Arabidopsis thaliana: one gene and its partners. The protein of the gene in region 1 interacts with the protein of each later gene in a pairwise test. Each region holds a gene or a part of one and is shown on either strand. Other genes may lie near its edges. The genes, in order: AT3G12130, AT1G12440 and AT4G14490.

What was found.
Region 2: the proteins of AT3G12130 (region 1) and AT1G12440 interact in a two-hybrid assay, tested with the Arabidopsis thaliana proteins (one large-scale study listed by BioGRID).
Region 3: the proteins of AT3G12130 (region 1) and AT4G14490 interact in a two-hybrid assay, tested with the Arabidopsis thaliana proteins (one large-scale study listed by BioGRID).

Annotation. Positions count from the first base shown.
Region 1 is NC_003074.8:3,862,707-3,874,111, reverse strand, and holds AT3G12130 (KH domain-containing protein / zinc finger (CCCH type) family protein), read left to right. Parts: upstream 1-7,430; 5' UTR 7,431-7,705; coding exon 7,706-7,784; intron 7,785-8,464; coding exon 8,465-8,525; intron 8,526-9,019; coding exon 9,020-9,626; 3' UTR 9,627-10,041; downstream 10,042-11,405. Other genes in the region: EML1 (Emsy N Terminus (ENT)/ plant Tudor-like domains-containing protein), read left to right, coding at 3,148-3,234, 3,327-3,436, 3,525-3,642, 3,759-3,932, 4,064-4,132, 4,254-4,499, 4,571-4,639, 4,713-4,991.
Region 2 is NC_003070.9:4,240,521-4,251,153, reverse strand, and holds AT1G12440 (A20/AN1-like zinc finger family protein), read left to right. Parts: upstream 1-7,952; 5' UTR 7,953-8,346; exon of another isoform or gene 8,347-8,794; 5' UTR 8,795-8,831; coding exon 8,832-9,338; 3' UTR 9,339-9,733; downstream 9,734-10,633. Other genes in the region: AT1G12460 (Leucine-rich repeat protein kinase family protein), read right to left, coding at 710-2,204, 2,298-3,451; AT1G12450 (SNARE associated Golgi protein family), read right to left, coding at 5,346-5,541, 5,644-5,861, 5,964-6,200, 6,398-6,658. UniProt on the Arabidopsis thaliana protein: May be involved in environmental stress response.
Region 3 is NC_003075.7:8,326,238-8,336,918, reverse strand, and holds AT4G14490 (SMAD/FHA domain-containing protein), read left to right. Parts: upstream 1-3,339; 5' UTR 3,340-3,344; coding exon 3,345-4,505; 3' UTR 4,506-5,116; downstream 5,117-10,681. Other genes in the region: AT4G14500 (Polyketide cyclase/dehydrase and lipid transport superfamily protein), read right to left, coding at 1-318, 401-482, 1,006-1,089, 1,177-1,353, 1,799-1,961, 2,155-2,528; AT4G14480 (Protein kinase superfamily protein), read left to right, coding at 5,375-6,838.

The DNA of each region.
Region 1 (11,405 bases):
CCAATAACATATATAAATATTTTTGGTTAATTTTCCTTTTGGTTAAGAAAAATAAAATGTAATATTTTTTAGATATATATATATGAATTAGTATATGTTAATAATGATTTATTTTTTTGTTTTCTATTTCTTTAAGAAGAAAAAATTTAATTGATTTTTTTTTTAGTATTTCTATTTCTTTAAGAAGAAAAAAATTAATTATGTTCTTACACGTGTCAACATCTGATCGATAGACTTGACACATGGCATAATCCTATGAGTTAGTAATTTTCAAAACCATACTTTACATAACAAAATATATGCGATTCCATTACTCGATTTTTTTAAGTCACTTCTAGCTATTTTATATTTGAGCAACCGATAAACTAAGAACAGAACAAAGACAGAAGTGTTAGAATTGAGTGGTGCAGTGACGAACGTATGGTTAAATTATTGAATATCGTATCAAATAGTTAAAACAACTAAATAAAAATATATATATGCACCATGCTTTATGAGTTATGAGATGAATTGAATTTATGTTATAAAAAGGTTATTGTACGTTAGAACTTTTAGGAGTAGTGTAGAACCCAAACTGTACAAAATCAGTAACATTACACAGCTGTGTTCCATTGAAGTCTCTGTTATATAGATCACAAGTTGTTTAACTGCTCAAAGTAACCACACCCATGATCACAATGAATCTCCTTCTTCATCTCTCTATCTTCTTCTCCATCATCTTTATCTCTCCCATCTTCCTACAGTTGCAACCCAAATGACAATAATGCCCTCCTTCAAATCAAGAAGTCCCTTAACAACCCTCCCTACCTCTCCTCCTGGAACCCCCGAACCGGCTGTTGTACTGGCTGGATCGGAGTGGAATGCACTGACGGCCGCGTCACCTACCTCTACCTTTCCGCCAGTACAATCTCCGGAAATATCCCACCCGCGATCACCATGCTCAAGAGTCTCAACCTCCTCTTTATAAAACACACCAATTTCTCCGGTCCGATTCCTGATAACATCAGCGACCTCAAGAACCTCACGTTCTTGGACCTTTCCTTTAACCAATTTCCCGGTCCAATTCCCGGTTCGCTATCTCAGATGCCCAAGCTTGAAGCCATTGAGATCCACGACAATAAGCTAACCGGTTCTATACCAAACTCTTTCGGTTCTTTTGTTGGCAACGTCCCTGAACTCGACTTGTCTAACAATCAGCTCTCAGGTAACCATCATTTTTAACATTCTTTATTATTAATAAAGTTATAAATCCCGGGTTTTATGACACTCCATTTCAGGGAAAATACCGGAGTCATTGTCAAAACACGACTTCAACGCTGTGTTTCTGTCGGGAAACAGTTTAACCGGAGATGGTTCCATGTTTTTCGGACGGAACAAAACAACAAGACAACTGGATCTGTCGAGAAACATGTTTCAGTTCGATATCTCCAAGATTGAGTTCGCTAGGAGCATACTTACGTTGGATCTGAGCCAAAACCGAATCTTTGGTAAGATTCCTCGGGTGTTGACTACCCTACGAAGTCTCGAGCGTTTCAACGTGAGCTACAATAGTCTCTGCGGGAAAATCCCAAGTGGCGGTCGCCTTCAGACCTTTGAACCATATGCCTACTCTCACAACCTCTGTCTTTGTGGGACTCTGCTTAAGGCTTGTTGAATTGGTCTAATGTTGGCGAATTAAAAAATAATTAACGTTTTAACCATATGATGTTTGTGTTAATAATCATTACCGCCTGCCAAGTCAGAGGTTCCTTATTAAGAGAATTTAATATCAAGAAAAGGGTAAGAATGATGTTGAGATATTCAAAGTGTATCTCTATAATCTCAGTGTGCATGGTTCTACGTAAGTCTCGTTCTCGTATTGCAGGTTAGGATTAGTATATCATCATATGTCTCAATTCAACTAACTTAACCCCTTGTCTCGCAAGGGGGCATCTAGTGATCACATATATACAAGTGTTTCGTTATGTAGTAGCTAGCTAGTGATCAACAACGTACACTGATAAAAGTTTATTAGTTTCTTAGTTGTTATATCTAGCAATAGATTTGACAAAGTAAGGATTAAAAATCGATACTAAAATTTTTAATTTAATAATTTTTGTTTTACAAAATTGATTAGTTGGTGAAATATATCACAAGCATAATTTTAATCATTGAAATATATCACAAACATGATTTAGACTTTACAAAGTTTCAGAGAAACCATCCATACACAACAAACCATATATAATCAGGAACGATATACAAAACAATATGACTTTGTGTGACCAAAAAAAAAAAAAGTCAAAAGATATTAGGCTATATGGGCCGAAGTTGCTATTATTGGTGGGCCTTAGAGATCTTAATACCAAAACGAATCGTTTCGTCTTTAAAACGACTGTTCGGCGATTCCGACGCCATCCCATCTGAGTCCCGGAGAAATCGATCGTAGCTCTCTGTGCCCTTCGCTTAAAAAAATATCGCTTCTCTCGAGAGGGGAAGGAAAGTTCATTTCTTTTTGTCCAATTCTTTCAACTTCTCGTTCCAATCCCCTCAATTCTCCGTTTCACCGAACGCACTTCGAACCCTTAATTGCTTTTTGCGGGTCAAGTTTCGATTCGAGCGTTTTAGGGTTTCGTATCTGAATCGGTCGACAAGATAAACCCTTTTGTGGGGGTTTCCTCTAGATTTCGAAAACAGAGGTATGTTAAACGTTTCTGCCCCTTTTGAATCTCGTTCGAGCAATTATTGAGTTAGGCGTTCGATGATGAACCTTGTGATAGCTAATCTGCGAATTGAGCTTGAGTTAGGCCGTTCTGGTTCTTACCTAATTCAACACCCTTACTGTTAGTTTTAGGCACGGAAGTCTTAAATAGGGTTTAGGGAATGGTTAACCGAGGTTAGGATTTAGGGTTTCGAAAAAAGTGTTCAGCTTCCGTGGTTTCGTGAATTAGGGGGAATTGTCTTGTCTTGTTTATGCTTCTGCAGCCTTTATTTTATGTTTCCTTTGGATTTTGTTCAATTCTAAAGTTCTTCAGTAGTTGGCTGATAAATTTGTTATCATCAGCTTTCTAATTACTGATAGCAACTGTTTTCCACATGACTGTAAATCTCTAAAAGGGATAGCTTTCGTTTGGATGGAAATTCTCTGAAACTAAACTACATAGTGATATGGAGACACAAATTCATCAACTTGAGCAGGAAGCATATACCGCTGTTTTAAGGGCTTTTAAAGCGCAGTCTGATGCGATTTCTTGGGTACTCTCTTCCTCCTTTGCATTGATTGTGTTCTGTCAGTCTCACGACTTAATCTCTGGAATATATTTTGTTGTACCATTTCCGCAATTTAGGAAAAAGAAAGCTTGATAACCGAATTGCGTAAAGAATTGAGAGTATCTGATGATGAACATCGAGAGCTTCTCAGTAGGGTCAATAAGGATGATACTATCCAGAGGATAAGGTTAGATTGTTTATTTGCACCAGCATAAACAAAATTTATCATGAATCTCGTTTATTTTAATATATGTTGTATCATGGAACTGTACCAGAGATTGGAGACAGGGAGGCGCAAGCCAAATTACTAGACATGCAACTATTCAGCCTTTTGATGTTCTTCCTAGTCCCACTTTCTCAGCTGCCCGAAAGAAACAGAAAACATTTCCATCTGTAAGTCTTATATTCTAGCCGTATTTGCACCAATGATGGTTCTTTAATACTTTCTTCTGGTTAGCCACATTGTGTTGTTTTATGTTATTTCTTAACCAATTATCTGTGAGATGCAGTATAATCCATCAATTGGTGCGACTGGAAATAGGTCATTCAATAATCGTCTGGTATCCAGTGGCATATCAGGAAATGAATCTGCTGAAGCTCTGATCGGAAGAAAAGTGTGGACAAAATGGCCTGAAGATAACCACTTCTATGAAGCAATTATAACCCAGTACAATGCAGATGAGGTACTATTTTTGTTCATTGAGTGTAGATTGCTAATTGGGTAGATAGATGGTTTGTTGTCCCTGCCAATTTTTATAGAAGTCTCTGATTATCTATTGGATTTGCAATTTACGCACTTGTTTTATTCTCACAGGGTCGGCATGCTTTGGTGTATGATATACACGCAGCTAATGAAACGTGGGAATGGGTTGATCTCAAGGAGGTAATCGTTACATGAACATTATCTTAATATTCTTTGCCTGTGGTTGCATATGTTTTCGTAAGCGATCTGGTGTCTGTACATACTGATGATCTTGATAAGAGCTGACATTATTATTGTTTAGATACCACCGGAAGACATAAGATGGGATGGGGAGGAGAGTGGGGTAGCTTTAAACATTGGACATGGAAGTGCATCCTTCCGTGGCAACAGAAGAGGCCAAATCCATGGTGGTAGAGGGAGAGGACCAAGAATTCATCAACCAAGAAGGGAACTTGTACCGCCACCAACACAACAGAATGGTAGTGGTGGGCGGAGAACTTCCTCTGATGATATTGAGTTGTTCAACACAGACTCGCTTGTGAAGGAGGTACGTGTTTTTTTATCTGCTGTATACCCATTAAGCTCAATGCCTGCTCTAACATGAAATTTTTGTTTTAGGTGGAGAGAGTTTTCGATTCTACGCATCCTGATCCACTCGAGCTCGACAAGGCCAAGAAAATGCTCAAGGTTTGAGATTAATACCTTTTGTATGTGGTATAATGTTGTGATCAGAGAACAATAACACTAGTTTGTGATGCAGGAACATGAACAGGCACTCATTGCTGCCATTGCAAGGCTTGCTGATACTTCGGATGGCGAAATGGGTAATAATAACAAAAGCACGCTACGTTTAGTTTGCAACCTCAGAATAATATATTATTTACCATTGAATTTTTGTGTTATGATGATAATATCAAGCATAATTACAAACTTAATCCTAGGAAAAATAATAAGAGAGTTAATACACACTTGCTCAGCTTGTGATTTCAGCGTAACTTGTAAACAGTTGAATAGCTTGAAATATAGGTCTTCTTCTTAACGCACACTTGCCCACTTCAGTGTAACTTCGTAAACAGCTGAATAGTTGCCCAGCTTCTTGAACCTCGATTGCATACTTCTTCCTCATGTTGAATCTATAATTGATTTATCTGCTTGTAACTCATCAGATGGAGATCCACCATATTCGCATGATCATCCAATGCCACAGGGATGAGAGAAAAGCTGTATGTTACTCAGGATTCTGTGGTCATGAAACCCAAAGGACTCTGGATTTAAGAAGAAACAATGTGCTCGGCTGACAAAGAGGTTGCTCAGAAGATGGAATAGTGAGTTTCTTCTAAATTGGTGTCAGGAAAATGTATGAAAATTAAATTTGTTAGGGAATGGAAAGTAGGATTTTGGTTGTAAGCACAAGTATTTGTTTTAGAGAGTGTAACCTGTGACTATGATTGACCATGTAAATGTTGCTGAGTTTACCTCCAAGAGATAACTAGACCTGCCATGACAATGCATACTGTAAGGTTAACGTGTATGTAGCCTTGTTGAGATGCATGCTCAAAGTATCCTTGACCATAACATGCATATTACATTGCACAATAAAATCTGAATTTGCATAACAAAAACACTGCGTTTAGCAAAAGAAGCACCTGGTTTCTCGTAGAAATAAGTTCCACAAATCCTTCAATGCGGTCATAGCAGGCTTAAGGTGATCATCAACATGCTAACGAGGAGCTAATCAGATGATGCATTCATAGCAGAAGACATAAGAGAAGGTAGAGAAAACACTAACCCCCTTGCAATTTGCAGCGGATTTCATTCATCTTCGATCTAGCATGTTTGATTTATTCAATCGAATTCTTCTAAATCAGCTCGTTGCGATTTCTTTGTAATCCCTACGAGATAACGGATTTGAAGGTATTAAGGTCCCAAACTACTTGACAAGAGCCGGAAACAAATTCGACACCAGAGACCGATGATGAAATAAAGCTATAGAGAGCAGGAAATATGTAAAAAATCAAACACAGAAAGCGATGAATCAAACAAAATCCTAGCTCAAGAAGGAATTTTATAAATACCTGGAGACGAAGAACCCTCCTTAGAGAGATTGACTGGGATCGGGTTTCCAGTCATCATGTAAGCTGAGAAATCGCAGAATCGGGAGGAATAACGGAGAAGAGAGAAGAAGAAGAAGATGATCGGAGATTATGCGATTGTTAGAAGTCGAGAGAGAAAGGGGAAAGAAGAAGCTGTCAATAATAGAGAATTGTAGAAGCAACGTAGATATTCTTTGACCCGTTTACCTTCTTCCTCTTTCTTTTTTTGCCACGCATATCTTCTTTTTTTCCCAATTTTTACTCTATTTTTTTAGAATAATGGAATTTGTTCTAATAAAATTAAATTCATTAGGTATTATTTTTTATTTGATAATATTAAAAGGATTTTTTTTATAAAAAAAAGGAAACTAGGTAGATGACAATGAAAATATTCACCATTTTTTTCCCAACTAATCCGTGTTCTTTTAGATTTGGCCTAATCCCTCTAAGTAGTTATATTTTGCCTATTCCCTTTCTATCGTCTATTCCTAAAGAACAAACATGTAATGCATTCGTTTGTTCTCCCAAAGCCTAAGCAAAGCTTCTTTGGTATTCCTCTCTTAAGAAAAAAAATACAATGGTGCAATATGATTTCAAGAATATAAGTGTCGTCCCAATCGGAAACGAGTTTGTCGATCTCAGTCTTTCCCGCGTTCATCGTCAGACTCCAAATATCCGATCCTTAAACTGATCCCTCAAACTGATCTTAATAATGATCATAATGCTTCAGACTTGTTGGTTGATTCAGACGTTTTGTTTAGGCTTGAGGAATTGGCACATGAAGAAGGAATCAAGAAGGCTCATCATGAGAAACAAGAAGATGATTTTGTGATGGCCAAGGTACATATTAGGGAGGATCACAAGGACCAACTTGTTGCATTTCGCAAGAATATTCAACCCTTGCTGATTTTAATAGCCTTAGCATTTTTGGCTCTTGTAGCTGTAGGGAATACTTATCAAGTCATTCAAGAGTGTCTTTAAGCTTTTGAGTCTCTTTGGCTTATTGAGTTTTATTTTTGTTTCTTCCACATTTTTTCTTTCAATATTTAACATTTTTTCTGTTTACAACTGTGATTGGTAAAACAGAAACCAATCAAATGCTTCCACAAATCCCGAATAGTTATAGCTGACATTTTTATTGATTGCAAGTTTCATAGTCATTATCCCAAGATTTCAGTAACTTCGAACTGAAATTTTGTGCCATTAAAAGAAGTTGTGGGCCGTTAATGGGCCGGTAAAAGTTCCATTTTGTTAATGTTACAAAGAGATCAAATAAGGAAAACATGACGTCATCCATTTGACATTTTAGCTTATCGTAAACAGGCGCACCGCTTACTTCACGGCCCACGTTAAGCTAAATCTTTCCGGTTTATTGTCCTTTACAGAGAAATTTCGGTTTACATCTTATTTTGTGCACTGGGCCACGCCGGTTTAAGTTCCAATAAAAAAAACCGGCAAGAGTAAACAAAAAAGAGGAAAATCTCATCTTTTTCCCTCGACGACAACCACCTTAGGGTTAGGTTTATTTTCTCGCTTATTCTCTCTAACTCTTTTTCCCTATTCCGATTTCGATTTGTCTTCTCCGATTCGCTTTTCCTTTCGCTCTCTAGACTCTAGAGTCAATTTGATTTCTACTCTCGTATCGGATCTATACTTAATCATGGATACTCGTAAGAGAGGACGGCCTGAAGCTGGCTCATTCAACTCCAATGGCGGCGGATACAAGAAGTCTAAGCAAGGTTAGTTCTTTTACTCTTTATCTACTGGAATTCTGTTGTACCGATCTTTTTTAGTTCCTTATGTTTCACTGTCTCTGATTAAGGTTTAAATTCGAGATCTTAAGTTGTGGGTAAAATTAAGACTTTTTTTTGCTAGTTATGAGATTTACTAGGAGGCAAAATTTTCTTCTTTCGTTCTCGGTGCTTTGTTTTGGTGATTTCGTGTTCTGTTTGCTTACTTATCTTGTTAATTAGCTAGATTACTGCAAAAAGTACTGGCCTTTTTTATCTGATGTAAATCTAAATTGAGTGATGATAGATCAGCTTTAGCTAAGTTGTTACTATTGTTAAATGTTAATTACTGGGTTTTGTTGGTCTCAAGCTTATATCTTCCACTGTCCTTGAGTTTTAGTATTTCTTTACTTTAATCCCTCTTCTCAAATATAAAGCTAATAACAGTTTATAACCATACCAAGGATTTAGTTTTGTTGATTGAATAAGCCTTTTTCCTCTGCAAAGTGTTTTTGTGTCCAGTTGGTTAGTTATCCTGAAAACATTAAAAAACATTATGCATCTTTTGATTTGAAAGTTTCATATAGATGATAAGATGAATGTATGAATGATATGTTGGATTCTAAAAGCAATATATTGAACTTCAGATAAGTTTTTAACTAAAGGAAAACACTTAATGTTTGGAACAGAGATGGAATCATATTCAACTGGTTTAGGAAGCAAATCGAAGCCATGCACAAAATTTTTCAGGTTATAATCCTTTTACTTAATGAATTAATATTCGAATTGTTATCTACCTGCAAGTTTGATCCCGAAATTACCAAGTAATACTAGATGCTAATGAAGTGGTTAGTTGTTATACAGGTATGTAAACATGTTTCAATCTGAATAGATAAGCGTATCTAGTTTGAGAATCATTTAGTTCAACTGGTTGTTATAACATAACAAAATCAACCAAAACATGTATTTTGTTTGAGCTGTGATAGTTGTTCTTCTATTTGGTGGTAGGGTATTAGTGATTTTGGGTTTATAATATAGTTGTTTATGGTCAGGTAAAGTTGTCGCATTACTAGTGGAATTGCCGCGCATCTATAAGCAGAACCGGATTACTATTTTTATTCTCTTATAGCACAATGATCATTGCTGTATCAATATGCTATTTCTTCTGTCTCTATTTGGTTTGTTCTTGTGCTATTCTATTCCCATTGTGTTTAAATCTCTGATGTATTATGCTTCTATTGCAGTACTTCTGGCTGTCCTTTCGGAGAGAATTGCCATTTCTTGCATTATGTTCCCGGAGGATACAATGCTGTATCGCAGATGACAAATATGGGACCACCCATTCCTCAAGTTTCCAGAAACATGCAAGGTTCTGGTAATGGAGGCCGATTCTCAGGGAGGGGAGAGTCTGGGCCTGGCCATGTCTCTAACTTTGGTGACTCAGCCACTGCCAGATTCAGTGTTGATGCCTCTTTAGCCGGTGCAATCATTGGGAAAGGCGGAGTCAGTTCAAAGCAGATATGTCGTCAGACGGGAGTAAAATTATCAATTCAAGATCACGAGAGAGACCCAAACTTGAAGAACATTGTGCTTGAAGGAACACTTGAGCAGATAAGCGAAGCGAGTGCAATGGTAAAAGATTTGATTGGGAGGCTTAATTCAGCAGCTAAGAAACCACCTGGTGGTGGTCTTGGTGGTGGTGGTGGCATGGGTTCTGAAGGGAAACCACATCCAGGGAGCAACTTCAAGACTAAGATATGTGAGAGATTCTCAAAAGGAAACTGTACATTTGGTGATAGATGTCACTTTGCTCATGGGGAAGCAGAGCTACGCAAGTCAGGAATCGTCTAGTTGTTGCTTGCAGATAGAGAATTTGCTGGTAAAACTAGTTTCTTATTTAGTGGTGGTGATATCTGATATCATCTTCACCTACTTTGTTTTTGTTTGTTATGAGAGAATACAATTTTAGTTTCATTATCATTGTAAGTCTATTTGGTGTTTTTTTTAATAGTTTAGTTTTTGGTTAATTCTGAGTATGAATTGAGATGGGAGGAAGCTTGAAGAGAATGATTGACAAAACTCAGAAACAGTGGTTAGGATTGTATGACGCCTTTTATTCATATTCTTGTTATCTCCGTTATGTCATGTGTGTGAATCACTTATATAATTTTCGTAAGATTTTCTGAATATGTTGGAGTCTTTGCTAACTGTTTGAATCGAGATCAGTTAACACTTATTAAGAACAAAAATGTGGTTTCTTGTGAGAAAAATGGTTTAATAAAAATCCGTGATTGATAGAAGAAAAAGATCAAAATAAATGGTTGGTGACGGGTGATCTTAAAAATGTTGAAATTAAGGTGTGTCGTCGTTATACGCGGTAAATAGATAGATAGAAAAATAGAAGTCCAATGCAAGAGACTTAACTTAATCATCCCAATTAATTGATTGCATTAACTTGTACTTGTATTTTCCGTCCGCCACCTAATTTGATTAATAATATAATAAAGATTACAATTGAAAACATAAACAAGAGAAAATCCGCACGAATCTACCAAAGTGCATCACGTTTGGGTATCCATACACGTGACCACCAGTCCACCACAACACAATGTCTGTAGATATTTTAATGTTTCACATGATAGAAGAAGCCAAACGTAAGAACTCTCTTTTCCACTTTTAGCCCTTTCCCCGCCTACCACTGCTTACGACTTGTGTAAGTGGCAAACTAGTAATAATAGAGACGAAACTTAAATATAAAAAAGTTGAATCCAACCAAGTTGGTGTTAATCAAATGGTTAAGTTATAATGGTGAAAGATTTGCCATGTGTATTGTATTAAGAGTTAAGACCAAGGTTTGGTTCCCATCACTTACGATTCTTTCTTTTCATATGATTCTAAAGTTAGTTATTATAAACATCTTAATTTACTACACAATATTCGGTAATTTCTACATATTTTAGAGATTAGTTTGAGTTTCAATCCATACTTTACTAGTGATTATAAATTAATATACGTACTTTTCGACTATAAAGTGAAACTAAGTAAATTAGAACGTGATATTAAAAAGTTAATGTTCACTGTTATATTTTTTTCACAAGTAAAAAATGGGTTATTTGCGGTAAATAAAAATACCAGATATTTTGAATTGATTAAAAAGGTTGAAATAAGAGAGGAGGGGAAAGAAAAGAAGGTGGGGGCCCAGTATGAAAGGGAAAGGTGTCATCAAATCATCTCTCTCTCTCTCTCTCTACCTTCGACCCACGGGCCGTGTCCATTTAAAGCCCTGTCTCTTGCCATTCCCCATCTGACCACCAGAAGAAGAGCCACACACTCACAAATTAAAAAGAGAGAGAGAGAGAGAGAGACAGAGAGAGAGAGAGATTCTGCGGAGGAGCTTCTTCTTCGTAGGGTGTTCATCGTTATTAACGTTATCGCCCCTACGTCAGCTCCATCTCCAGGTCCGTCGCTTCTCTTCCATTTCTTCTCATTTTCGATTTTGATTCTTATTTCTTTCCAGTAGCTCCTGCTCTGTGAATTTCTCCGCTCACGATAGATCTGCTTATACTCCTTACATTCAACCTTAGATCTGGTCTCGATTCTCTGTTTCTCTGTTTTTTTCTTTTGGTCGAG
Region 2 (10,633 bases), on another chromosome or scaffold:
TTTAGCTTGGGAATTTGCCGATTCATTTAAGGTTTCTACATTGGTTACAACAATCGGAATCCGTTACCTTCGTCGGAGATCTGATCGGCGAGCAGGAGAAGTCAGTCGTGGTTTATGAAATCTGATCAGCGATACAAAACGCCACCGTCTTTTTCTAGTGGCTTCCGACTTATATATCTGTCTCTGTCGTCGCAGCCAACGAATTCAAGGCCGACTAACCATAACAACCGAAACGGCAGCGTTTTGTGGATAAGAGGTAAATTATTAAAACGCAGTGTTTCGCTGAGTTAGTAAGTTAACCAGCTAAACCGGTTCAATGTTGTTGAATTGGATTCGCAAAAGAGTCGTAAGGAGCCATGAGATTCCAAATCAGAGTATTGCTAAGAGATACTGAGAGTGAATATTCTAAACTCAAGTCCAGAGAGATGATCACAATTTGATATTTTAAACTCAACATTTTAAATGTGTTTGTGACAAAGTATGAGTTTATGATAACTATAGGAGTTTGATCTCGCCTGTAGAATGAACTTTGTAATCCTGATCTATTTTCCCTCATCCTTAATAGTAGTATTCTCGGTGTGGTATTGTGTAAACCAGAGTAACAATTTCATTGAACAAACGTAAATCTAAAACTGGAAAATCCCAAAAGAATAAACTTATCTGCACATTTCCTATGCAATCTTTGCTCAAAAAAAGGGAAAAAGCTTCATCATGATCCAAATCCATTTCTGATTGATTCAAGAACCTGCACAACCTCAGCCATGCTCGGTCTCTTCAGTGGATTCTCGGACGTACAAAGGAGTCCTAACTTCATGACTTGAATCAGCTCATTCTCTTCAAACTCTCTCAACCTTCTGTCAAAACAATCAGAAGCTGAACCAGTCTCCAACAAATCCCTCACATAGTCTCTCAAGATCAAGACTTGGTTTTCCGATGGAGACTCCACCGGTTTTCTACCTGTAACCAGCTCAAGAAGAACCACACCGTAACTATACACATCGCATTTCTCACTCGCTCTCAAACTCTGCTGAGCTAACTCTGGAGCAATGTACCCAACCGCGTTGTGGAACTTCTTAGTCAAACCAAAGCTGTCCATAACCGGAAGAAACTTTTCTAACCCATAATCCGATAGCTTTGCCTCGTACCTTTCGTCTAGAAGAATGTTGGTGGACTTAACATTGAGATGAAGAATCGCCGGTTTACAGTCATTGTGAAGGAAAGAGAGCGCTTTTGCAGTTCCTAAAGCAATCTGAAATCTTCTGTGCCAATTCAAATCAGTATTCCCATAGCTTGAGCTGGTTCCCGGGAAAATTCTTAGGTGTAGATTATCGTAGAGGCTACCATTAGGGACAAACTCAGAGAGAATCAACTGCATTGTTGAGGAAAAGTAGTAACCTTGGAAAGAAGACAGATTCGGATGTTGCAAACCTCCAAGCCGTCCAATTTCTTGCTCAAACTCTTCTTGGTTTCTGATTCTTCCTAAGGTCTCAAGCTTCTTCACTGCAATGGAAACTCCTCCTTCGAAAGATGCTCTATAGACTGATCCAATCGATCCCATGCCGATTATATTTTCCTTGTCGAGCAAAGCTTTTGTACCTGCCTCCCAATCTTCATACTTTGAAGGCAAATTCTTGCTGAAAAGAACAAGCTTTCCAATTATCACACCGCTAGAGTCAATCGAAGACGCCAGTGGAGTGGTTTCAACTGTAAGTATTTCTTCATCTTTTCTCCTTTTACGAGCTCTTAGGTTCAAAGCAAGCACAATGCAGACACCAAAGAGGATGACAGCAGCCGCAATAATAACGATGATAACCGAAATGCTTAGAGCATCAGAATTTCTGGATTTTGCTGCAGCTCCACGTGAATTGCAGGGAGTTACAAGAGGATCACCGCAAAGGAAAGGGTTGTTCGAAAATGCAGAAGATCCAAAAGCTTGTATCATTGGAACAGGAGGGATAACACCAGAGAGATTGTTATAGGAGACATTGAAATGCGTTAGAGTATTCAAACTCCCGAGGGAAGACGGGATTGGCCCTGAAAGCGAATTCTGTGAAAGATCAAGAAACTGGACTTTGGAGAGGTTTCCAAGTTCAGGTGGGATACTTCCGTTCAGACGGTTTCGATGCAGATCAAGAATCTTTATGTTTGTTAAGTTTAATAGCTTCTTAGAGATCTTTCCTTCTAAATCATTCCCTGAAACATCTCTGCAACCAACAAGCAAACGATTAACAACAATGTGAGATTCAAACACAGTAACAAGAACCGATAAATTCTCGAAAACATCGATTAAAACTTACAGTTCAAGAAGTACTCTGCAATTGGATATATCCTCTGGAACTTCACCAATGAGATTGAGATTATGCAGATTCAAAACCTGTAGAAACTCCAAACTTCCAATATCTCTTGGTATCACCCCATCTATAGAATTATTCCCTAATCTGATCACTGAGAGGCTCTCCATCTTCCCAATACTTCCCGGGATACTTCCATTCAGCTTGTTAGACTCCAAATCCAAAAGCTTGAGACTTTTGCAACCCATAACACCAGTAGGAATCCTACCGGTTAACTCATTCGACGAAGCATCCAAAAACTCCAAACTTTCACTGCAATCAACTATCTCTCCAATCTCACCACCAAATCGGTTCCAAGAGACATTGAAATAAGTTATGTTCTTGAACGTAAGAACCGCAAAAGGCGCTAATCCATGAAACAAATTGCTTCCTAAATCAACAAGAATCAACCTCTGACATTTCTGTATCTCCTCAGAGACATCACCAGACAACAAATTGTTTCTCACTGAGATATATTCAAGCACAGGAATATCACAAATCCTAGGCGGCAACACTCCCTTCAGATTATTGTAAGAGAAATCAAATCCTACGAGGTTGTTACAGTTTACAATTGAAGCAGGGATTGATCCAAAGATATTGTTATGAGCCAGTGAAACAAATTTGGTCTTGTCACAGAACTTAAACAGAGAAACCGGAATCTCTCCGGTGAAACCATTTTTAGACAAGTCTAGAAACCTTAAGCTAGACAATTCACTAATAAACTCCGGAATCGGACCAGACAACGCATTGGAACTAACATTAATCGTCCACAAAGTTTGCAACTTGAAGTAATCCAACGGTAAATTACCTGTAAACCTGTTGCCAAACAAGTTCAGAACTCGAATAAACTTTAGATTTGACAATCCCGGAGCTAAGGTTCCGGCGAGACTTGTGTTCCACAGAACGATTTTGTCCACGAAACCTTGTGGGTTACAAGTGATTCCATTGAAGCTATTGCAGAGGTCACCATCGGAAACCCAAGAAGCCAAGCTGTTGTATGGATCGTCACTGATACTGCCTTTGAACTGAAGCAGAATGTCTCGTTCACTGATGGAATCAGAGCGAGAAGTTGAAATGTAGATGAAATGAACCAAAACCAGAAAAAGATGAACCTTTCTCATATTCAGCTCATAAACGGATCCTACCCAATTGACATTATCGGTTCATGATCCAAACCCGAACCCGAAATTAAACCCGAGCTCCAAATTGGGATTTGTTCTCTAACACCAGAACCAAGAACAAGTAGCTGCATTTATAAAACAAAACCGTTGATTTTTCTTGGGATTGAGCTAAAGGTGAGAACTTTTGAGCTGCTTCTGCATTTACTTAGTCATCCTTAACGGCTAGAAAATTTTACCGACCAAAGTCAACATTCTCAAGAAACGACAAAAGAAGAAAGAATCACAGATTCAAGAGTATTTGCAAGTTTTTGAACAAAAAAATGGACAAAAGAAGAAGGAATTTGTTGTCAGGCTAGTCTCATCTAAGCATTATAGAGAAGAGAGTGTGTGCCTTGGCTGGAAAGTAAACTGGTGAATGTATTAAATTCAGTCTTTCTCACACTCTCTGGCTTCCACCAAATGAAGAAGAAGCACGTGCCTGCTTTGTTCAATCGTCTATATGTGTATGTAATGGAGGAGAGTGTCTGGCTTGTCTGTACTTCTTACCAAAGCATTTATTCTCTCCTTCACCAACCATTTTTGCCATTAAATAATCCCTACCTAATTCTTTTCACAAAAATGGAGTATATGAATTCTCAATTTTTCATGAAGAAAAAAACAAGTAGTTATGGTCCCCAATCTCAATTGGTGGTTACAAACATATTGAATGCATGATGAACAGAGAACTGTACATTTAATATTCGATTCAAATGATGAGATGTTATTTGGAGTAAGATAAATTACTTGTGAAGTAAGAATGAATGAGTTATTTTTAGGCAATGTTGAATGTTACATGGCTTATGATGAGATCATTGAGTGAGAGTAGGTTTCATTTTGTGAAATGCTTGGGGTTAATTCATTAGTTGAGGTCCAAATCAAACTTTTGGAAACTAATGGGTTTTAGAAAAAGGGAAGAGAATTAGAGACAGAGACAAGTGAGTGACCAAAAGTAAACGTCTTTCTGTTATTTGTTTGTTTCTGTAGCTTTTGTTCTCTCTGTTTTACTGAGTTTGTTTAATCATTTTGTTCTTCTTCCTTTTTTTCCATTTCTTTCTTGATTGTTTTGAAGATATTATTGTGGTTTGAGACTGGTGTGCAAGACATGGCTCATATAGTAAACGGGTTTGCTTTTTTTTTTTTTTAAGGTCTATCAGAGACTTTCATAGCAATATTTTCACTATATGAAGCCAGATTTGCTCCTTTTTTCGATGATTTTCAATACTTATGCTTAATTTTAAGATACGCTATATATTTTCTTCACTCGTTACATCATTATTCAGACCAAGTAATAAAAATTGCCAGGAAATTATTCCTTGTTAAATACATCAAACGTATCATATGATCCATATGAAATTGATCCAAACCTATCCATATGAAATTGAAGTTGGCGCAGTTGGTCCGACGGCCCAATAACGTGGCACTAAACCCAAACATCACAGAGGTTCTCGCGTTGACTACTCTGTCAACAAAACCGAAACAGATGACGTCATCATTGACACTCAGCATCGAAGTTAGCTCCAAAGATCATTTGATACATAAATTTCATGGAACATAGGAGGACACACAGTCTTCATGGATCATTTTTGTTTTTACTTTTGAACAAAACCCAACAAGACATTGTTCCATGATACATAAGGTGGATTATATGCAAGGAAAGAAAAAGACTTAGATGATCTAATAAATATACATTGGAAATTTTCAAAATTCAATTGATACATATCATATATACAAGAGAAAAAGACATAAATATTCATTTTCAAATGAATAAGAATAACAAAAAAAAAAAAAAACATTATATATTATCAATTTCAAGATCGTGTTAGATGATGGTATGTTGTGGTCATGGTGAAAAGAGTTAATAAAGTATTGGATTTTGTAATGTCTCTACGTCCTCTGATTGCATCGCACTTAGCTTCTTCTTCGCATAGATTGTGCAGACTATAGTCGCGCTCGCAGTTACACAGAAGCCAAGAACATTCACGACTATCTCCACAACCGAAAGTGTGTGTCTCGTGTCTGATGCAACTGCTAGTGTCCTTAGCATTATACCCCTGCAAATATCCCAAAACAGAAAACCACCAGTCTTAAGATTCTGCAGAACATGCCTTAAACATTGAGACAAGAGACATAGAGAAAGAGAGAGAGGCATGTACGTGTAAATTGAGACAAAGATCTCAGGAACCATTCCAACAAGAGAGCCTAAGATATAAGGACCATAATGAACTCCAGTCGCTAAAGCGCAGTAGTTGTAAATGATGTAAGGAAATGGAGAGACACGGATTAGTGTGACTGCTTGAAACTGATGAAACCAGGTTCCTTCACCAGCAGCTCTAAGTATGGCTGCTTTTTTAGGGTATTTCTTCAACCATTCCTGCACAAATGACAAGAAAGAAAAAAAGTCCAAATTGATCATCTCATGGTACAAGCTTAATAATAAGTATCCGAACAAAGAGTATGGGATGATGATGCTTACTTGCATCTTGTGGAGGAAGAGATGTCCAATTAAGAAAGGAAGAGTAACACCGATGGAAGCAGCTGATAAAATCAGAAGAAACCCTTTTCCATAACCAAATGTAAGACCAGCCATCCACATGGAAGGGGAAGAAGGAAGAAGAATGCTTGGAAACAATGCCACTGAGGCAAATAGTAGAAGACCGAGAACCGGTATGCTGAATGTGTTTCTCACCCAATTTATAAATGGAATCAGCTCCTGAAACAAATCACACCAACATTAATGATGATAAATGAATAACCTTCCTTATAAACACATACTCATACATGTAATTCAAGAACCCTAATTTTCAACAATTAAAAACCCAGCAGAAACCAGAATCATTATGCATACCCTAATCCAATCAAATGTAACCAATAAGCATCAGATCTTCGAGAGACAAAAAAAAAACGAACCTTTTCAATCAAAAAGGGACCAACCCATTTGATGATAACAAAGGCCAATGAACCCAAACAAACGACCAAGGAGATCAATTTCACCCAGAACCAGACAGAAGTAACCGATCCTATCGGACATCTCGATGATTCCGCCGATGATCCTTCATCTTCTTCATTTGATCCTCCTCTCAATTTCAGATAATCACCATTATCGGAATCTTCTTCGACTCTCAATTTCAGCTCAGGCACCGTCCCATCGACGCCATTGCTGTACGTCATAGATCGATGCGAAGATAAAACCAAAAAAAGTGAATCCTTTTGGCTCTAAAAAAAATATCTCAAAAGTTTCCGTCAGAATCGTTATGCACCTCTGTTTGTTTTCCTTCGGTTTCTCGAGAAAATTAAACCGTTAGATCAAATGTTGTGTTGATCGGAGAGAGCGAATGGGGTTAGAAGAAAGAATCTTTATTATTCGTTTCCGTTCTTAGCTTTAAAAACTTTTAAAAAATGATATCCTTATAATTAGGTGGTTTAGTTTCAACTTATTAAACCGGTGTCGTAGTCAAACATGTGGAGACATATGAGTGGCTAATAGCTGTTGCTCCGTCACGAACCACCGATAAATGTGTAAGCAGAGTTGCTTTAGACCGGCGCTTTATTTTCGCTTTGCCGTTACGGTGCGTACATACATCGTACTGACAGAAGAAATACGTAACATATTTAATTATTGAAATTTAGTTGCTTGAAGGCAATTTATATATATTACGGAGCATAACATAAAAGAAAACGAGAGGATCGAACAAGAGAATGAAACGCAACCAAAGTTGATACTTGTAAGCAAAATATAAGAACAAGACTCCCTGTAAAAATGAACATATCGATAGATGATATATAGATTAGATAGCTACGTTTTGAAGTATTAATACCATACCAAAGAGGAGCATAAGAACTAAGAAGCTTATGGACCCTATAAACAATTCACAAACTATATCAAATTTAATTTGGTTGTGGACCTTATGGTCAGTATTGGATCCAAAAAAAAGGATGCAGTCGCGAGTGAGAGTCGCTTGCTAATATAACGTCTTGAATGATAGCGTTCGATGATTTTGGATTTCGATTAGTCGTTTCCAAACCAGATAAATGGAAATTGAATTAGTCTCGATTTTAAGGACAAGCATAAACAAATTATAGCTCAAGATTAGATATAGTGGTGTCCAAAACACTTTACGTAAATTAAAACGATTTAGTCATGTTGATATTTGCAAGTAAACTCAGTGAGAAAAGACCTGACCACTTTTAAAATCCGGTCGTTTTAGCGAAGAAAAGAAAGAGATAATTGAAAAGGCCCAAGGAAGAAAGAGTACATTTGGAACAACATATCATCACATTCCGATCAAATCAAAAGAGCGATGGACTAATCGCGTCGGGACAAACGCGCCACCTTTTTTCTTTATCCTACTGTTACGTCACCGTCCAACCAGCTAAGCATGTCCCCACAAACCAAACCCGGTTCATATAAAACCGATTATCTTCACGAACTCGAACCAACTTTATCGTAATCCACAAACACCATAAAAAGTTGATAACCCCACCCATTTTATATCCACTTTATCTCATCAAAAAACTTCCAATCACCACCGTTGGATTAGTAAACAATGGCGTCATCACTCTCCGATTGTTTCATCGAACGAATATTATCAGGGATGTATTAAATCTTCCGTGCGCCTTACCGCATATGAATAAACCATTTGACCACAAAGACAAATGCAAAAGAACTAAAAGAGTCTGGTTTCTGTTCTGTCCTAATTTCTCTCTGGCGAAAGCTAAGAGGTTTCGGTTACGGTCTCCATCTCCGATCAAATCACGAAGTTTCTATCGGAAATTTTCAGTGATACATACCGTCAGAGATTTTCTTTACGAGAGAATTGTCGCCGACATACTAAAGCAGAGTTTTGGGTGGGAATTAGGTAAATATCTTATTGGTTTTGTTCTGTGCCGATATGCAGATTTGTGTTCTTCGTTTGAATCCTTCATCTATTCTTGAACCATTCGATTTAAGTTTTTGACGGCGAAGATTAAACAACTCTTATCTATCTCTTTTTTGTCCTTTTTTGCGCCGGAAGGGTAAAGTGGTCTTTGTGAGATAGACGCTGACCTGGTCTTAAGTGTTGACAAATGACGCATTTACTCTTCGACTTTATAAAGAGTTCCAAGGGTATTTTAGTCATAAATGAGAAATAATTTTAGTCTTTCTCGCTTGAGAAACAAGCCAAGAATCTCCGTTTTCTAAATCTTTCGATATTGTCAATTTCCCTTTATTTTCTCGACGGAATCATAAATAAAAACCCTAAACCTAAAGTCACAAATTCATTCTTCATCTGTTATTCACGATTTGTGTTGTCTTTTCTTTTGCAGTAAGATTTCGACTTTGGAATTGGGAGATCTTTCCATTATGGGTTCTGAGCAAAACGACAGCACAAGCTTCTCTCCTTCAGAGCCAAAGCTCTGCGTCAAAGGATGTGGCTTCTTCGGATCTCCATCGAACATGAACCTCTGCTCTAAATGCTACAGAGACATCCGAGCCACGGAGGAACAAACCGCTTCCGCTAAAGCCGCCGTCGAGAAATCTCTAAACCCTAATAAACCCAAAACTCAACCACAACAGAGCCAAGAAATCACTCAAGGCGTCCTCGGATCTGGATCGTCTTCCTCATCAACGAGAGGGGGTGATTCGGCTGCTGCTCCGTTGGATCCACCGAAATCGACGGCTACGAGATGCTTGAGCTGTAACAAGAAAGTTGGCGTGACGGGTTTCAAGTGTAGGTGTGGAAGCACTTTCTGTGGAACTCATAGATATCCAGAGAGTCACGAGTGCCAATTCGATTTCAAAGGAGTTGCGAGAGAAGCTATTGCTAAAGCTAATCCTGTGGTGAAGGCTGATAAGGTTGATAGGATATGAATTGGTGAAGAAACTGTTGTGTTCTCTTTTGTTTTTTTATTTTCAAGTCTCGTGATGTTGGTGGTTTGGCTCTCTGTTTTCTGCTCTTATTATGGTTTTATTTGCTTTTAGGGTTTCTTAGGAAAGGCCTTAGATTCTGCTATTATGTGGTTTCATGTTTTGCAACATTGGATTTGTTGTTCTGTAATAAAGTGTTGGTTATATTATGAAATTGTGTTCTTATTGGTACCAGCTTACTTCTTCTTACTTGGAGAAGTTGAATTGTTTGCAGATATAGGATTCTCTTGGTTATGAGGCTTATGAACTAGTTGGGGGTCGTAAATAGCTTATGGTGGATAAAAGTGTGTAGCTTGATAGTTCTGAAACTAAAGATGTCGTATAGAGCTTATGGTGGATTCCCCTGGTTTGTTTATAGTGGACGAACAAGTTGGGGTTTGTATATAGCATTATAGCTTATGGTGGATAAAGTATGTAGCTTGAAATTTCTGAAGCTGAAGATGTTGTTCAGGGTATCTTTATCGAGTCATGGAAGATTTAGATGTGTCTTTAGTTTAGGTGTTAAGTGTCCTTGATTGAATGAGTCATTGATTTTGCTTTCTCTGTCTTAGCTGGAGAAAGTAGTGTTCTTCTTACCTGGACAAAGTTTGATTCACTTAAGAGTTGTGGGACTTAGAGTAAGTGGAGTTTTTATATAGCTTATGGTGGATCCAATGAAGTAGTCAAAGTAGTTTACCTATATCGAACCATGGCAGATTAAGAGATGTTTAGGTGATAGTGCCCAGTGATTGAACGAAATCAGTGATTTTTGCCTGGTAGTGGCAGTATGCTTTGATAGCTTAAGAAACTTTAAAGACTTGAGGCTCGGTTTTGGCCATGATCGATTTGTTTGAACTAGTTGGGATATTCGGTGTTGTAGTCGATGACTGTAGATTGAATACATTCTGTCGTTTGTGTATACATATTCCCTAGCAATGATGCTCATAAGATTATTTCCCTGTGCTTGTATGATCTTCATCTCGTTGGGGTTATGTTTAAAGTGTAACCCATCAAAAGTTTTTAGCAAAAAGATGGAATAGTCAATGCCAATGCAGATCTTTGAATGGTGTGTATTGAACAATGTCAATATCCACAATCAAGTGCACTAGTTGCATCTGATCTATTTTTATAAAAGAAGTATCCATCCAAATTTTTTATATACTGTCTTCGCATACAACTGATTTTGATCTGAAATTTCACTAGATGAAACTGGATTTGATTTTCAATACGGTTTCTAAATTGTCTAAACTATGAAAAAC
Region 3 (10,681 bases), on another chromosome or scaffold:
TCCAGTCCATTCTCAAATGGTCCCGTTGTCTCGCATATTCCATTGCTCTGCTTCTGTCTTCATCTCTTGAAGATGATTCTGCAGAATCCATGTTCAGTTTTGTAGTGATTCTTGCCATTTGGGCGATCCGAGATAGAGATGAGTCTGATTTTCTGGCGGATTGGTACGCTCGTAAACCAGAGTTTAGCTTCTTGACAGCTCCCCACATGCCATGACGGACACCTAACTTTGCTACGTCTTTTGGGATGCCCATGTCTTCGTAGTGGACAAGGGAAACTTCACAAGCCGTTTGCTGTCCATCTCCTTTTCGGGATTCAACTGCATTTGTTTTGAATTTGCTTTAAAATCAAAATCTATGCCCGTCTTAAAGAAAAAAAGACTTGTATATCAAAAGGCTTACCCGCTCTGATAACCCAACTTGAGAAATAAAGCTCAACACGCCTTGGCTTATCACGCTTTGGTAGAGCTGGATAAGGAACTCCCTACAATATTGAACAGGTGTTAAGTATGGTTCTGAGCTTTGAGCTTTGTTTAGAGCTGGATAAACCTAACAAAGAATACAACCTTATGCATTTTGTGAATAAGGCGCTTATCTTCAGAACTAAGGCGCTTATCTTCTTTGATATTTCCATAAAACGCATCTCCTAGAGAAGTAGAAGCATACTCCATGCAATATCAAAGAAGATAAGCGCCTTAGCTCTGAGCTTTGAGCTTTGTTTCAGCATAAAAACTTAATAGGATGTTTAGGATAAACAGATGTTGGATACTATTTGATCAATTTTTTTCACTGATAAAGTAATGATGCAATGAAACTTAATAGAACTAGAAACTAAGAGACAATGGTCCCATGAATTATCTCCAGACATTCAGAATTGTCAAACCTAAACTTTGGTGTTTTGTCCCCTACAGAATTCTGGCGTAAACATTTAGAATTCTCCAGACATGTGGAATGCTACACACTTGTTCTGTGGAAGGCAAAAACAAGTTCTTGTAGCATGACATTACCTTTGTGACACAATAATACTTCTTCCCAGACTCCCATATTCTCCGGCCAATGATATACTCTCGGTCACTACAGAAAAAAGGAAACTGCAAGCAAAAGAAATTAGTAATGACAACAGTTTTTAATGTGGGAATTGTTTATTAAGATGACCAAAGTATCAAAAGTCCAGAAACCTTTTTTCTCCACTGAACAATCATTGTTCCTGTCTGAGTGTCCTCCTCCAACGTTTTGAAGTTGGCAAGCATGAAATCCCATTTAGGTCGAAACTCATCATCCCAGAAGAAATCCCTAACAATATCTGGAGTTGCATCCTCAAACACAGTCCGGCTGCGATAAATAACAGGACCTGTCTGATAAACAATACGACCTATCAGGCTACAAACACAATTTGATCAAATGTTTCTATCATCTAGTATTTAAGAATTCCCCATTTCATTATAGCAAGAACACAGTTTCAAGTAAAATGTCACAAAAATGCCACACAAAGGGGTAAATGCAACAACGCATCACATCGTGCCCAAAAAGAACCAAAGCTAAACAAAGAAACACAATGTATACTACTAGACACCTAAAAATTGATCGTCTATAGCTATCCTTAGAAACATATCTCCCTCGTCATTACCAATAAACCTAAAAGCAGTGGTCTGATTCAGATGTCATTCAAATTACTCTAAAGAATTCATTTTTTCGACTATTCCGCCTACTACTCAATGACTTAGCTTGTTCCTTGAGCTACATCATTCAGGCGTAGCATAAGGAAACGGATACAAAGCAAGAGTATAAAACTTAGATTACCTCAGGCTCATGACGCCAAGCCTGGTAGCTCATATTTGGAGTAGTCTTATCCATCATAGATTGCCATTCCAAAGCTGCATTTCCAACTTCAAGCAGCTGAAGCAGATGCTCTAAATCATTCTCTGTCACAATATCCTCTGTCACCGTCCCGTTATCGCTACCTCTGCAAATATAACCAATCCATAAATCAACTAATGCAAAAAAAAAAAAAACCATTCTTTTGCCAATGCTATTGCGAAACTAAAAGATAATGCAAACACTATATACCTTATCTAGCTAAATTAAAAGTAAACGTTACGTTTTAAAACAGAGAACTAAAACTTCTACATCTTCCAATAATTAAGCATTACACTAACCTTGAGGCCAATCCTGATTCATCATTATCCTCAACAGGCGTCTGCGACGAAGCTGAACCGGTCGCCGATTTATTAGCTCTGGTGTCATTCCTTGACCAGATGGTTCGGCAAACGGAGAAAGCAGAGAGAGCGGTGAAAGCAAGCCAAAGCCGACGAGCACCAAACCCAGGCGGTGCGGTCCATAAAAACCGAAGCTTAGAACGAAACCCTAAATAGATCAAACCGGTCCATCTTGGACGCCAAGACCATCCGATTAATAACCCGATCATAACGGCGAGCCAAATCGGAACTGCGCATAGTAAGATGTCGACAAATGTCTCTGTAAAAGAGGGATTCTTAAAGAAATTCAATAGATCAAAATAGGTCTCATCCATAGCGGATTCTCTAGATTCGATACTTTACTCCGATTTGGATAAAAAAATTTCCCGAGAAAAAATGTCAGATTCCCGAAGGAAAATGGGATTCGAAGATCGCTAAAAATTTAAGCGACATGAATCAGGAGAATCAAAGACGAAGACGAAGAAGAAGAAGAAGGGATAATAATAATTTTTTTCTTTTTATTTAATTGAGTTTGGTGATTTAATTGATTAAATCATAAAAAGAAAAAAATGTGTTCTGATATTATTTGCTGTGCTTGAAACGACGTTGGCGGGTGAAAGGAAATGATAAGGACAAGCATAGTGGCGATGACGTGGCGCTTTCGTTGACCGACAAGTTATATCCCACGCGTCAGATCTTAGCGCGTCGTGTTCACTACGTAGAGGAATATACTCAAAAATCAATTATTGTGTTAGCATTAGAAGCACGTTTTGTTGATTTGCAACAATTGTAGATAAGAGCCTAATTAATTTATAGGAGTAAGGTTAAATTTGGTTGATTTCGAATATAAAAGGGAATTTTAACAGTGGATATCCAAATGATGAGGTGAGATACACGCGAGGGTAAAGGAGCGTGAGGGGAAAAAGGTTGGAAAAAAAGTGGATAAGGGAGAGATAAGTTTGCTGAGAGATTCACGTGTGTTGCTGGAAGTTTGGGTAATCAATAATGCCAGTTGTTTAGCCAATAGTAGCTTTTAGCCTTGAAATTGTTTTATCGTCGAAACGATAAAAGCCCATTTAAGGCCCATTAATAATTGGAGCGTCAGACAAATCAAAATTTCAAAATTCGCATTTGGGAGAGAAACGGTAACAATGGTTACGCCATCGTTGAGATTAGTATTCGTCAAGGGTCCAAGAGAAGGCGATGCTCTAGATTACAAGCCTGGATCTACGATTCGTGTTGGTCGAATCGTTCGTGGTAATGAAATCGCAATTAAAGACGCTGGAATCTCCACTAAGCATCTTCGGATCGAATCGGATTCTGGGAATTGGGTAATACAAGATCTTGGATCTTCCAACGGTACTTTATTGAATTCGAATGCTCTTGATCCAGAGACGTCGGTAAATCTCGGAGATGGCGATGTTATCAAACTAGGTGAGTATACATCTATTTTGGTGAATTTTGTGATTGATGATTTTCAGGAGAAGAAGCTTACGAGGAACAATAGGCGTCAGGCTAATGCGAGGAAGCGAATTAGGGTTTTAGAAAGTATCAATTTGGGGGATATCACTGAGGAAGAAAAGGGTTTGGATGTGAAATTTGAGAACAAGCCGAGTTCTAGGGTTAGGAAAGTTAGGAAAATCGAGGATTCGGAGAAATTAGGGATTACTGATGGATTACAAGAGGATCTGGTGGAGAAAAATGGAAGCTTTAGGAATGTTGAAAGTATTCAGAGTTCATCTGTAAACTTAATTAAGGTTGAAATGGAGGATTGTGCAATGGTGGAGGAAAATTTAGGGAGGGGATTGAAGAAGAGAGTGAGCAGTAAGGCTACGAGGAGCAAGAAGATTGAAGAAAGTGTAGGAAAAGCTTGTTTGGGAGTGGTTAATGTAGAGAAGGTAGAGACTTTAAAGGAGAAGAGGATTACTAGGGCTACAAGAAGCAAGAAGATTGATATTGTTGGAGATTCTTATTTGGAATTGGACATGGTTCTAAATCGAGCCAGAAAGAACAAAGGGAAGAACAAGAAAGCGGATCAGAAGCCGTTGAAGAGCTTTGAAAATGATGAGGTTACTGATTCAGGAGAGCAGGGTTTAAGCTGTCATGTTGAAGAAGATATGAACAATGAACTTGATACAGATCTAAGAAAGATGACATTAGGAGCATTGTTCAGTTTTCTGGAGGGTCATCTGTCAAAAGAGATAATTCACAAGACAGAAAATATGATTGAGCCCATGCGAAGTAAAACTCAGAGAGTTCGTGAGTATATTTCAGATCAAAGAAAAGTTCAGGCTAAAGCGTGTATGTGTTGAATTGACAAAGTGTCCAACTGATATGGTGCACACTGATTATTGGTATAGCTTCAGTTCATGGAATAAGAAACACATACTGACAGGTACAAGTTTCTTATGAAGTAGACCTTAATGCTGTGGGATTGGCTGTGTTGCTTAGAGTTTTGACTGCATTGATTTACTTGCATTTGCTTTACGTGTGAGACAAAGTAAACAGTGAAGTGCTGATGTTTAAGTAGGTTTCATAAGTCTTTTGCCCACTTTATAGTATATGTTTCAAGGACATCCCTGAAGACTTATAAAACAAGTTCTGTTCCATTGTGATTTTATCTTAGCATATTGATGTTTGAATACTTGATCATTCATTTTACCAAATGTCAAGAAGGCTGACGTCTTTTCTCTAGTCTTTGTTTCCTTCTCATGTGGTCAAAGGCAAATGCAAGTTCTTCAGAAATGCCATGAAAAAAAAGTTGTAAAACGAGTCTAGATATCTAAATCTAGAACTTTAAATTTCTGTGAAATGATGAAAATAAATTTTCATAGCTCCATTTAATTTTTGTACCTTTACCGGTTTGAAGTTGAAATGATAGTGTTTGCCCTTTGGGTCCCTGGAAAGACCAAAGGTAAAATCTCATTAACTAAGGTTAGTTAGTTAGCTCTTTCACATGCTTCATCTTATTGTTTCATCAACATATTTTTAAGTAAGAGATAAGGGTTTTGCTTTTACATTAAAGGCTCTCTTTTTTTTCAAGTTCACATGCTAAACCAACTCTTTCTTTTTTCATCCCTATATGAATAGCCTCATGGTACTATTAGCCTCTAAAAGACCACAATTCCACTAAAAACATAACAATTCAATAAGCAAGAGTGTACTCATCTTCTTTCTATTTATGGCTCGGAACAAGCTCGAGTTCCCTCTTGATGCTGAAGCCTACGAGATCATCTGCAAGATAGGCGTTGGTGTTAGTGCTTCGGTCTACAAGGCCATATGCATTCCGATGAACTCAATGGTAGTTGCTATCAAAGCCATCGATCTTGATCAGTCGCGGGCTGACTTTGACAGTCTTCGCCGTGAAACCAAGACGATGTCTCTGCTTTCTCATCCGAATATTCTCAATGCTTATTGTTCATTCACCGTTGATCGATGTCTCTGGGTGGTTATGCCATTCATGTCTTGTGGCTCTCTTCATTCGATCGTCTCTTCGTCTTTTCCAAGTGGGTTACCAGAAAACTGCATTTCCGTCTTCCTCAAGGAAACTCTGAATGCAATCTCGTATCTTCACGATCAGGGTCATTTGCACCGTGACATCAAGGCAGGTAACATTCTGGTAGATTCTGATGGATCCGTGAAGCTCGCTGATTTCGGAGTATCTGCATCCATCTATGAACCCGTGACATCTTCCTCTGGAACAACATCTTCTTCTTTAAGGTTAACTGATATAGCGGGAACACCGTATTGGATGGCTCCGGAAGTGGTTCATTCCCACACAGGGTATGGTTTCAAAGCAGACATTTGGTCTTTCGGGATAACAGCGTTGGAGTTAGCACATGGAAGACCTCCGTTATCTCACTTACCGCCGTTGAAGAGTCTGCTCATGAAGATCACCAAAAGGTTTCATTTTTCTGATTACGAGATCAATACGAGCGGAAGCAGCAAAAAGGGTAACAAGAAGTTCTCAAAAGCTTTTAGAGAAATGGTTGGTTTGTGTCTAGAGCAAGATCCTACTAAAAGACCATCGGCAGAGAAGTTGTTGAAGCATCCTTTTTTCAAGAACTGTAAAGGACTCGACTTTGTGGTCAAGAACGTGTTGCATAGCTTGTCAAACGCAGAGCAGATGTTTATGGAGAGTCAGATTTTGATCAAGAGTGTTGGAGATGATGATGAAGAAGAAGAAGAAGAAGACGAAGAGATAGTGAAGAATAGAAGAATCAGTGGGTGGAATTTCCGTGAAGACGATCTCCAACTTAGTCCAGTGTTCCCAGCTACTGAATCAGACTCTTCTGAGTCCAGTCCACGTGAAGAAGATCAATCAAAAGACAAAAAGGAAGACGATAACGTCACAATAACGGGGTATGAACTCGGTTTAGGTTTGTCGAACGAGGAAGCTAAGAACCAAGAAGGTGAGGTTGTTGGGTTTGATAAAGATTTGGTGTTAGAGAAACTGAAAGTGTTGAAGAAAAGTTTAGAGCATCAAAGAGCAAGAGTGTCGATTATAATCGAAGCATTGAGTGGGGACAAGGAAGAGAAGAGCAGAGAAGAAGAGCTTCTAGAGATGGTGGAGAAGTTAAAGATTGAATTGGAAACTGAGAAGCTAAAGACCTTGCGTGCTGATAAAGATAGTGTTTTGGGTTAACTATTCTAAACTTGTTAATATTTTTTTTCTATATGCTAAAATTATATAAGTGGCATGACATTACGATCAATTGTTTTCAATTTAACTCGTTTTATTTGTCAGTTTAGAATGGCTCCAAATTAAGTTTTGGTAAACAAGTTATATATTCACCAAAACAACATATAAATATTTCCTCTTCATAAAATTTAATAAAGAACAATAAAGTAAAATCACAACAACAAAATGTAAAATTGATATGAATTACAAATACATATTCCCTATTTACTGATGTACTTCTTAGAATCAAATTTACTTTAATAGTCTACTAATTTGATTGTATTTTGCATCTTCAAACACTTTCATCTCGAAAGAAAAAAACTTAATGTTTTTTTTTTTTTAATGTAATGTTAAATTAGATTCAAAAGAAAAATGTCTTTTGTACAACAAGTGCAACGTGAGTTTGAAAAAGGCTAAATACATTTTAGATCAAAGAAACTAGTATAAATTTCTTGTTGCAAACCAAATTTGAAGTCCCGTCTCATGTCTTCTTTCTCCGCTTGTGTTCAGTGAAGAAAGTCGATCTCTTACTTGCTTGTCTATCCATCGGATTAAACGCACCGGTGGATTTGGTTGTTCGCCATGCCGCCGATTGTTACGTTTCCTCCAGATAGTATGAATCGTTGCTTGGAAGACATAGTGAGCTATGAACCGCTTTGTTCGATCTTGCCAATGACCCGAAGTGGCTGCAATCAAGTCATTCCAGTGAGTAGTATACTTTGCTCCATAGATGTTCCTTGTCAGAGCCTGCCAAATTTCTGAAGCGTAAACACAAGAGAAAAAAAGGTGATTTCTAGTTTCCAGCGTGTGATTACAAAGAGCGCATCCTGTGGAGAGTCCCTGTTCCAGCTAAGCATGCGATCTCCTGTTGCTAAACGATTGTGAGCCGCCAACCAGACGCAGAAAGAGAACTTGGGGGTCCCTCCTGCAAACCAGACGCTCTTGTGCCAAGTGACTACAGGCGAAGGTGTGCGAGTATGGTTCCAAGTATCTCGTGTTGAGAAACGTGGCCGATAAATATCCTTTCTCCCTTTCCAAAGAAAAATGTCCTCTGCCATCACTCTGTTTTGTTTCACCAATAAAGTTCTTGTTCAATGTTATTTAGAATTGCTGCTCGATGCGTACGTGAGCTCCTTCCGTCCCATGCCTCTGCAAGCGTCTTATGCTTACTAATCCCCATATCAATTTGGCCACGTTCGCCCACGACGTCAATCAATCTGCCCATGGTTGACCAATCATCATACCAAAATGAAGACCTTTCGCCATTTCTAATATCAACCTTAGAGAAATCTTTTGCAATGTTTCGGTATTTCAACAACTTTTTCCACATCCAAGAGCCTTGTTGTGCTGATCTAAGGGACCAGAAAGTGTTGTGCTTTAGGAGGTGGGTCTTAATCCACTTCACCCATAGCTAATCACCATGCGAGACCATTCGCCAAATAAGTTTCAGACAACATACATCATTTGCCTCTTTGATTGACCGCAGACCCAATCCTCCCTCTTGTTTTGGTCTACATATTGTATCCCAAGCAATCTTAGCCTTCTTAGTACTTAACTCTGGTCCTGACCAAAGGAAAGCAGAACAAAGCTTGTCGATTTCCCGAATACACTCACGTGGAAGCCTGAAAGCAGAGAGCCAAAAATTACATATACTCCATAAAACCGAACTGATCAAATTTAGACGACCCGCGTAGGACAAGAACCGGGCTGTCCATGTTCCTATTCGTCGTTTTATCTGCTCAAGAAGCGGGTTGTAGTCCTGAGATGTGAGTCTCTTGGTGACTAGAGGTAACCCGAGATACCGCACCGGGAGACATCCTACTTCAAAATGAAATTGTTCCTCAAACTCTTGGCGCACAGTATCAGAAATTCCTGCAAGATAAATTGTTGTTTTCTCCATGCTAATCTTGAGACATGATTGTTTTGCAAAACTGTCAAAGACCTCCACAATACCCTCAAGGGATCGAAGTTTCCCATCTGTGAGCACCATGATATCATCAGCAAAAGAAAGATGTGTTAAACCAAGATTTTTACACTTTGGATGGTATCCAAACTTCCTTAAGCCTGCAGCTCTGTCAAGCTTCTTGGATAGAACATCCATGACAATGACGAAGAGATAAGGAGATAGAGAACAACCCTGACGCAGCCCCCGTGAACTATTAAAGTATCCAGCTAGTTCCCCGTTAACCTGAACCGAGAAAGATGCTGTGGTAACGCAAAGCATGATCCAATGAACAAAAACTTGAGGAAAATCAAGAGTTAAGAGGACATTCTTGAGGAAGGTCCATTGAACTGAATCAAAAGCCTTGGAGATGTCAATTTTGATAGCGCAGCGTTCTGAGACTGAATCTTTATGATAGTCCTTGACTAACTCCGTTGCGAGGAGCAAATTTTCGATTAATAGGCGATGTTCCTTCATATAACTTTGGTCCTTTACAATGATTTTGAAGAATCTGGAAACCCTATATCAGAAATTCGTCGATTCTACATGAAACTCTACCCGGCCCTGAACGTGTTGCATAGCTTGTCAAACGCATTTAGTGATATCAAAATCTGACTCTCCATAAACATCTGCTCAAAATCAGATTTTGATATCACTAAACGTATTCTCAAAATCATTTATGCAGTAAACAAAAATATCACTAAACTTTAAAACCAACCCAAATAAGCAATCTGGGGGTTTGATTATGGGCTAAAATAGATGAATACGTTGGGCACAAAATACTAATTCCAATATATTTCATCTTGTTTCTACAAACCTGACTAACTGACCACCCAATCGGTTCTAGCTAGTCCCAAAACTTTGGATTTTGAACTTTGGTGATATTTATAGAATCATAAACAACAGTGGGATACCGGAGTTATATATGAATGTGAATTTGGTCATAGCCGATAGCCTAGTAGTCTAGTACCATAAATCCATAATACGTAATATAAAGAATAGTGTACAGTTCAACGGAACGGAAGAAACAAAAAAAGTAGAAATGGAATAGTAATTTACACATTGACAATAAAATACCACTTATATAACAAGTTTTTTTCAACTAAGTTTTGTAGGTAAACTGACCATCTCCATTGGGAGTATCTCATAAGAGTTTCTCACAATTAAAAAATTAAAAATAAAAAAAATGAAGGAGAGAGAGTGTACAAAGTTTCTCACTTGAGAAACTCCGAGATACTCTATACAATTCATCATGATAATTCTCATCTCACTATTGGTTCAATTTTTTAACAAAAATACTTTTTTAATCAAATAATCAAATTATAATATAATATTAATATTTTTTTTGTTTGAGAAATTTTGTGAGTTTCTCATTGATGAAGATGCCCTAAAATTACATAATTAAGCTTTTTCAACTAAGTTTAGAAGATAACATACGATGAGACAAAAAGAAAAAGTTTATTATGTGAATAAGATATCATGAACAAAAAAAGAAGAAGATGTGGAACCACATTTTATGTATTTCATTTTAATTTATACTACTAAATGTTGCAGTTTTTATGTAAAAATAAAATAATTTTGAAGAGAGGGTTGCCCGGTATTTACGGGAGGAAAAGCATGTACACGTGGGAGATGTTGTATCGGTCAAAGCTTCAGTTTCCTCTTTTGTCTTTTTCTTGTTTCAGTCTTTTTTTGCGCCTTTCCCATATTTCTTTCCTTGGAAATTTAACAACAATCTTTCCTTTTGTTTATTGTAAGCTTTTTTAAAAAATATATTTTGACTATCTAATCTCTATAAATTTTTCAGTTCTCAGTTTAAAAGTGTCTAAATTCAGCCAGAAAAACTACTGTAATAGTTGTGACAT